Linked DNA regions of Callithrix jacchus. The protein of the gene in region 1 interacts with the protein of each later gene in a biochemical or structural test. Links are inferred from orthologs where the notes say so. Each region holds a gene or a part of one and is shown on either strand. Other genes may lie near its edges.

Evidence for each region. The genes of interacting proteins can lie anywhere in the genome.
Region 2: the proteins of SUPT5H (region 1) and CCNT1 form a complex in vitro, tested with the Homo sapiens proteins (2 studies listed by BioGRID, with this or other methods). The link is inferred for Callithrix jacchus from reciprocal best matches to the Homo sapiens genes SUPT5H and CCNT1.

The regions. Positions count from the first base shown.
Region 1 is NC_133523.1:34,929,832-34,933,581, forward strand, and holds the start of SUPT5H (transcription elongation factor SPT5), read left to right. Parts: upstream 1-965; 5' UTR 966-1,034; exon of another isoform or gene 1,035-1,076; intron 1,077-1,204; 5' UTR 1,205-1,291; coding exon 1,292-1,366; intron 1,367-3,750. UniProt on the Homo sapiens protein: Component of the DRB sensitivity-inducing factor complex (DSIF complex), which regulates mRNA processing and transcription elongation by RNA polymerase II.
Region 2 is NC_133510.1:70,881,559-70,885,208, reverse strand, and holds part of CCNT1 (cyclin-T1), read right to left. Parts: intron 2,365-3,650; coding exon 955-2,364; 3' UTR 1-954. UniProt on the Homo sapiens protein: Regulatory subunit of the cyclin-dependent kinase pair (CDK9/cyclin-T1) complex, also called positive transcription elongation factor B (P-TEFb), which facilitates the transition from abortive to productive elongation by phosphorylating the CTD (C-terminal domain) of the large subunit of RNA polymerase II (RNA Pol II).

The DNA.
Region 1 (3,750 bases):
TGCGACTTCAGCTCACAGCAACCTCTGTCTCCTGGGTTCAAGCAATTTTCTGCCTCACCTTCCCAGTAGCTGGGATTACAGGTGTCCACCACCACACCTGGCTAACTTTTCTATTTTTAGTTTCAGCGTCTTGGCCCGGCTGGTCTTGAACTCCTGACCTCGTGATCCTCCTGCCTCAGCCTCCCAAAGCGCTGGGTTTACAGGCGAAGGTTCATTTTTCTCTTTTTTTGTTAAAAATTCTTCCTGTTGATTTTCAGCTTCATTTTTCATCTCTCCCTTACACCTGTCCTTTCTGCCACCACTCGTCAGCCGTCATTACTAATAAATAAATTCTCCTTTAACTGAACGTAGGGAGCCTGGAAAAAAAAATGGGGGCTTGGGTCGGCGCGCCAGGTAACGCCTGTAATCTCAGCACTTTGGGAAGCCGAGGCCGGAGGATGGCTTGAGCCCAGGAGTTTCAGACCAGCCCGGGCAACATAGTGAGACCCCAACACTACAAAAAATAAGAAGAAAGAAAAAGAAAACAAGGGCTTCACGGTCACTTAGACTTGGCGAGGAGGCTTGAGTCTGCTGCTTTCCACTGAGCTTTAGCGTTCTCTGCAAAATAGGGATACTTATCTCCTGGGGATGCTTTAGAGGGCCTAGGATATAAGCCTGGTTTCTTTTCTAATTTGCTGTTCGCCGATTCCCCGCCTCCTCGCGGCTTGGCATATCGCGCTAGTGGCCTGGACTATCGAACAAACGGCTCACTCAATTCAAACACGAGTTCCAGCCTGGAAAAGGCCGAGACGGCAGGGTAAAAATACTTTTCCTCGCATGACCCTCCACAGATGTCGGCCGCGAACTCTGCCTAAGCCAGCCCTGCCTCTCTTATGATGGCGACCCAGAAGTGAGTCGTCCGGGCCAGCCCCGGAAATCTCGCGTTAGGTGAGGCCAATGGATGGGTTCTCGCGAGAGGACCCGTCAGCCCCAGCAAGGCGTCGTGCGAACTGCAGCTGGTATCTAAGTCGTAGGTGGAGTCGGAGCGGTTAAGTGTAGGTGCAGAGGTGGCAGTTCCGGGGGCAGCCGGGGGCCGGGTAGGTGTAGGGAGCGGATTCGTAAACTAGGAAGGTCTAACATGTGGCGTAGGAGGGGGTCCGCACTCCAGTTCACGATTGCCAAAACGAGGCTGCCGGAAGTGCGCTAAGGGGTTTTCTTCTCCCAGGGAACCAGCGGGGAAACTGAGGCTCGAGGTGGCGCTCAGGATTGTGGGACACGCTGAGGCGGCCGTCTTTTCCCGCAGCAGCGGAAGATGTCGGACAGCGAGGACAGCAACTTCTCCGAGGAGGAGGACAGCGAGCGCAGTAGTGACGGCGAGGAGGCCGAGGTCTGTGGCAGGGGCGCTGGGGGAGATACTGCGCCTGGGGACAGGACTCGGGGCAGAAAGTCCCTTGTGGGAGGCTCGAGGGGTTCACAGCGAGCTCTGGCTTCTGGGAGATCCCAGATTGTTGTAAGAGGCAGAGAAGTACGCAAGTTGAAGTCAAGCAAAGGGACAGGTTCTGGAGGCCAGAGATGAGCCAGGTCCAGTGAGATAACAGGTGATGTTTTTAAAGTTTACTCTGTGTGTATATAGTAAGCACTTAGCATTAGTTATTTTTTTTAGTTACGTCTAGTCATTCCAGAAATAAATTTGTAGTGCCTGCTATATACCAGGCGCAATTCTTTGCCCTTGGGGTACACCAGTAAACAAAGCAGATTTAAAAAATTTCTGGCTTCGAGAATGTAAATAAACATAGCCAATAAATACACCATATAGTAAGCTGGAAGATACTCTGGAGAAAGGGAGAATAGAGAAGGGGAGTGGAGAGTCCTGGTTGCACTTGAAATAGGGTCATCAACCTGAGTCTGAAGGGTGACATTTGAACAATGATTGAGGGAGTGGGTTGTGGTTAGCTGGAAGTGGAGTGTTCCAGTGAGGGGGACCAGCAGGTGGAAAGATGGCACTGTGTTTGCTGTGTTCAAGGATTAACGAGGATTTGAGAGGCCTAGATGGGAGGACGTGAGCCTAGAATTTCGAGGGCAATCTGGGCAATATAGTGGGACCCTGTCTCTACAAAAATATAAAAAAATTAGCCGATAGCCAACCACTGAAGACAAAAAAAGAAAAAAGAAAAAAAAATTAGCTGAGACTGGGTGTGGCAGCTCAAGCCTGTAATCCCAGCACTTTGGGAGGCCGAGGCGGGTGGATCACGATGTCAAGAGATCGAGATCATCCTGGTCAACATGGTGAAACCCCGTCTCTACTAAAAAAAAAAAAAAAAATACAAAAAATTAGCTGGGCATGGTGGCGCATGCCTGTAGTCCCAGCTACTCAGGAGGCTGAGGCAGGAGAATTGCCTGAACCCAGGAGGCGGAGGTTGTGGTGAGCTGAGATCGCGCCATTGCACTCCAGCCTGGGTAACAAGAGCGGAACTCCGTCTCAAAAAAAAAAAAAAAAAAAAAAATTAGCTGAGCATGGTGGCACGTTCCTGTAGTCCCAGCTACTCTGGAAGCTGAGATGGGAAGATCGCTTGAGCCAGCAGGTGAAGGTGCAGTGAGCTGCGATGGTGCCACTGCACTGCAGCCTGGGTGACAGAGTGAGACTCTGTCTCCCCACCTCCCCCCACAAAAAAGGGGTTCCAGTTTGGTTGGAACAGAGTGAGTGCAACAAGGAATTTATGGGAGCCAGGTCATATAGGATCTTGAAGGCTGTGGTAAGGAATTTGGCCTTAACTGAGCAAAATGCAACCATGAAAAAGTGAGCAGGTAGAAGATGGGATCATGTTTTGAAAGGATCACTCTGGCTTTGGATCTGTTGAGTACCTCAGTTTCAGGAACCAAAAAACAATCATTTCCTGGGGTGTTTCTGATTTGAAATGTTCTTTTATTGCCCATTATCCTTTTTGTGTTTTTTTGAGACAACATCTTGCTCTGTTGCACAGGCTGGAGTGCAGTGGCATGATCTTGGCTCACTGCAACCTCAGCCTCCTGAGTAGCTGGTATTACAGGTGCATGCCACCATGTTTGGCTCATTTTTGTATTTTTAGTAGAGATGGGGTTTTGCCATGTTGGCCAGTCTGGTCTCGAACTCCTTACCTCAGGTGATCCACCCTCCTGGGCCTCCCAGGTGCTGAGATTATAGGCGTGAGCCCCTGTGCCAGGCCCATTATCCTCTTTTTTTTTTTTCTTTTGTTTTTTGAGAGGCAGTTTCCACTCTTGTTACCCAGGCTGGAGTGCAATGGCACGATCTCGGCTCACCGCAACCTCCGCCTGTTGGGTTCAAGCCATTCTCCTGCCTCAGCCTCCTGAGTAGCTGGGACTACAGGTGCGTGCCACCATGCCCAGCTAATTTTTGTGTATTTAGTAGAGGTGGGGTTTCACCTTGATGACCAGGATGGTCTCGATCTCTTGACCTCGTGATCCACCCGCCTCAGCCTCCCAAAGTGCTGGGATTATAGGCGTGAGCCACCGTGCCCGGCCTCCTCTTTTTAAACTTGCTTTTGTTTTATTCATTTGTTGAACAAATCAGCGTTTGCATCTGCTACTGTGTTCCACTTCCCCGGTGTCTGGTAGGAAATCTTTGCTTTTTTGGAATTGACTTTAGTAGGTAGCAGTCAGAAACCAGTAAACAGATGATAAAGTGTTTATAGATCTCTTATTTGATGTATAAAAACTTAAGTTGGCTTTTTAAATTAGTTGCCAATGCTTGTGAGGGAGATTTCACATAAAGAT
Region 2 (3,650 bases), on another chromosome or scaffold:
AAACAAAAAAGGGGGTAAAAAGGAAGTTCTCCTAATGAAGAGTCAGGGTACTGGCTGCACTTGCCCAAGCTAGAAATTAGAGGGCTACTACTCAATTATAACATAAAGAAAGGGGAAAATGCCATGTCAAATACATGCCTCTTCCTTTATGTTCTCAAGGCCAACCATGTTCTTCTCTAGTAGACTGTTTGGAAATGAAAATGGTAAGGGACAGGGAAGGAAAGGTAAAACATGATTTTTAAACACACACACTTAAAAACACACATAACCACACTTACATACACACTTAAAATTCTGACACTTCAAGTGGCCTGAGCCTATTTCAGAACTCCTAGCCAAAAACCTACCCTCCCACCCACCCTCACACATTCCCACCCTCCAATCCCACCCACCAGGAGTCACTGCTATGTATTGCATACACACAGCAAAATCCCTATCCCCTTCCCAATTATATAAAAAAACTAAACAGATAACTTACTTTAAATTATTTTTTTTAAGTCTCTTAAAAAGATTTTGATGTTTAAATACTTCCTCTCTTCTGATATATTAAACACCAAAAGGATCCATAATTGTCTGATAAAACAATTTTTCGGCTCTGGCAAGAAGAGGGAAGATACTCCAATCAACCTAATTAGACGGTGGAGAGGCCAATAATTCAGAAAGTGTTCTTAATCCTTCACAGCTTCAATACCTCTCTAATACCAGTTAAAAACTGTAAGAAAATAGTTAAATGCATGAGGCAGCAGATATAATAGCCAAGGCCTTCTACTACCCTCCCACCTATGTCTCAATACCAATTTACTCCCTAGTCCATGAAGGGTAACATATTTCATAAGTAATTTTCTTAGTCCAAATCAGTAGTCAAAAAAAAAAAAAAAAGAAAGAAAAGAAAAAGAAAAAAGTATATATATTTTTTTTTTAAAGAAGTTTTTTTTCTCCTCCTGTTTTTCTTTTTTACTTAGGAAGGGGCGGAAGCGGTGGAGGAGGTTCTGATGGCAGAGGTGGTGGCCGGGGTTTGTCTGTATTTCCAGATCTCGAGGAAGAGATTCCACCAGCCCGAGGATTCAGATATTCGCTATAAGGACGAACAAATTCAAATGCAGTGGGCTGAGTGGGCTGAACACCTTGGGCACTGAGCAGGGAGTGAAGCATATTCACAGTATCTTGATAGTCTATTGTCTGGGTCGTGTTATGACCATTGGCCCCAGTGGCCCCTTTATCCAGTTTCGAATGAGAGACTCGAGTTTTACAGCTGGGCTGTGAAAAGGAAAGGCCACTTGTGTCTGAGCTATGCCCAGGCATCTGAGCCATTGCAGGAAGTGAAGGGAAGGAGAAATTTAGGGAAGAGGATTTACTACTCTTGGCAATCTTGGTTGGATGATCAAACACTGCCCCTCCAGTCTCTTCAGAGGGTCCCCTTTTACGAGTAGTACTGGAAGAGGAAAAAGAACTAGACAAGCTATAGGTTTTATGTGCTAAGTTGCTTGTCTGGCTACTATGTTTTGGATCACCTGGACGTTTGTTCCCTGTACTAACTGGAAGTTGTGAATGAGAGTGCTTGTGTGAGTGGTGATTATGATGATGATGGTGATTAGATGGGTGAGTCTTATGCTTTTCTTTGTGCTCTCGGCTCTTTGTAACACTGTCCTCTACAGAATTGTGCTTATCAGCTGCAGCATGGACTTTTATGCGCATTTTTATCTCCTCTGGTTTTGAAGAGGCAGCCTTATCTCCACCTGCCACTGGAATTCTCATTTTGAGAGCTGTTTTGTCAGCCTTTTCCAGAAAAGACCGCTCGGGGTTTTCTGAACCCTCTAAGGGCATTTTTAGAATGACTGAAGAATGGCTATCATGATGAGAAAGGAGATTCTGGGCAGCATATGCATACTGTGACTTCACATTGGCTTCCATGTTCTCCAGTTGCTTCTTTTGAGCAGCCAACTCTTCTGCATGCTTTGCACGGTATTCTTTCAGTGACACTTTAGCTGACGGCACACTCTTACTACTCTGCTTCTGGGAAATAAATGCATTTGAACCATCCTGTGGTAAGGAATGATCAACTCCTATAAGTGCTAAATTGTCACTAGTCCGATGACCCTGAGTAGGTTCTAGTTTGAAAGAAGGTTGGGAGGACAGCCAACGCTCTCCAGGCAACATCTCCACACTGGCTAAGTTGCTGGATGATTCTTCGGAGACTGGGAGGGAAGGCACTGCATTTGTGGTAGAAGAAGTTGACATGCTCATTAAACCTGCAATGGTTGTGTCTGAAGAGCTCTGGGAAATCATATTGAGGATTCTCTGCTCTGAAGTATTTTCATCTGTTCCTCGGTCATCTGCTTTTGTTTTCTGGGCAGCCTGGCATGCCTGGAATGAAGCAAATAGCGTCTCTTCACTTCAGGTAATTTATTAAATAAAAAAACACTGCGATGAGTAAATTGTACTGGCAGCAACACTGGAAGTTCTGGATAGACCACAGGCAGGAGACTTTCCTAACATGAAATCCAGTAAACATTACCATCAAAAGAATATTTCAAAACCTTCACTTGCCAGGCGCAGTGGCTCACACCTGTAATCACAGCACTTTGGGAGGCCGAGATGGGTGGATCACGAGGTCAAGATATCAAGACCATCCTGGCCAACATGGTAAAACCCCATCTCTACTAAAAAACACAAAAATTAGCTGGGTGTGGTGGCACACGCCTGTAGTACCAGCTACTCAGGAGGCTGAGGCAGAAGAATTGCTTGAACCCAGGAAGCGGAAATTACAGTGAGCCAAGACTGCACCATTGTACTCCAGCCTGGAGCCTGGAGACAGAGCAAGACTCTGTCTCAAAAAAAAAAAGCTTAAAAACCTTCAATTAAGAGTCACAGCAATGGCCGGGCGTAGTGGCTCACGCCTGTAATCCCAACACTTTGGGAGGCCAAGAAGGGTGGATCACAAGGCCAGGAGATCGAGACCATCCTGGGCCAACATGGCAAAACCCCGTCTCTACTAAAAATGTAAAAAAACAATAGCTGGACGTGGTGGCAAACACCTGTAATCCCAGCTATTCAGAAGACTGAGGAAGGAGAACTGCTTTAACCTGGGAGGCAGAGGTTGCAGTGAGCCGAGATTGCGCCACTGCACTCCAGCTTGGCAACAGAGCAAGACTCCGTCTCAAAAAAAAAAGTCACATACATGAAATCTATGCCTTCTGCTTATGATTATAGTCAGTCCATAACAGAATTCTAGAAATTTTGGTGATATTTTATGCTAAAGTAAAAGATGAACTATGTGATCTCAAGCCTACTTCTTTTTGTTGTTGTTTTTGGGTTTTTTTTTTTTTTTGAGACAGAGTCTCACTCTGTCACCCATGCTAGAGTGCAGTGGTGCAATCTCAGCTCACTGCAACCTCCGCCTCCTGGGTTCAAGTGATTCTCCTGTCTCAGCCTCCTGAGTAGCAGAGATTACAGGTGCCCACCACCACGTCCGCTAATTTTTTGTATTTTTGGTAGAGATGGGGTTTCACCATGTTGGCCAGGCTGGTCTCAAACTCCTGACTTCAGGTGATCTGCCCACCTTGGCCTCCCAAAGTGCTGGGACTACAAGCATGAGCCACCATGCCTGGCCTCTCAAGCCTACTTCTAATCCGAAGCTTCTAAGAGGCAAA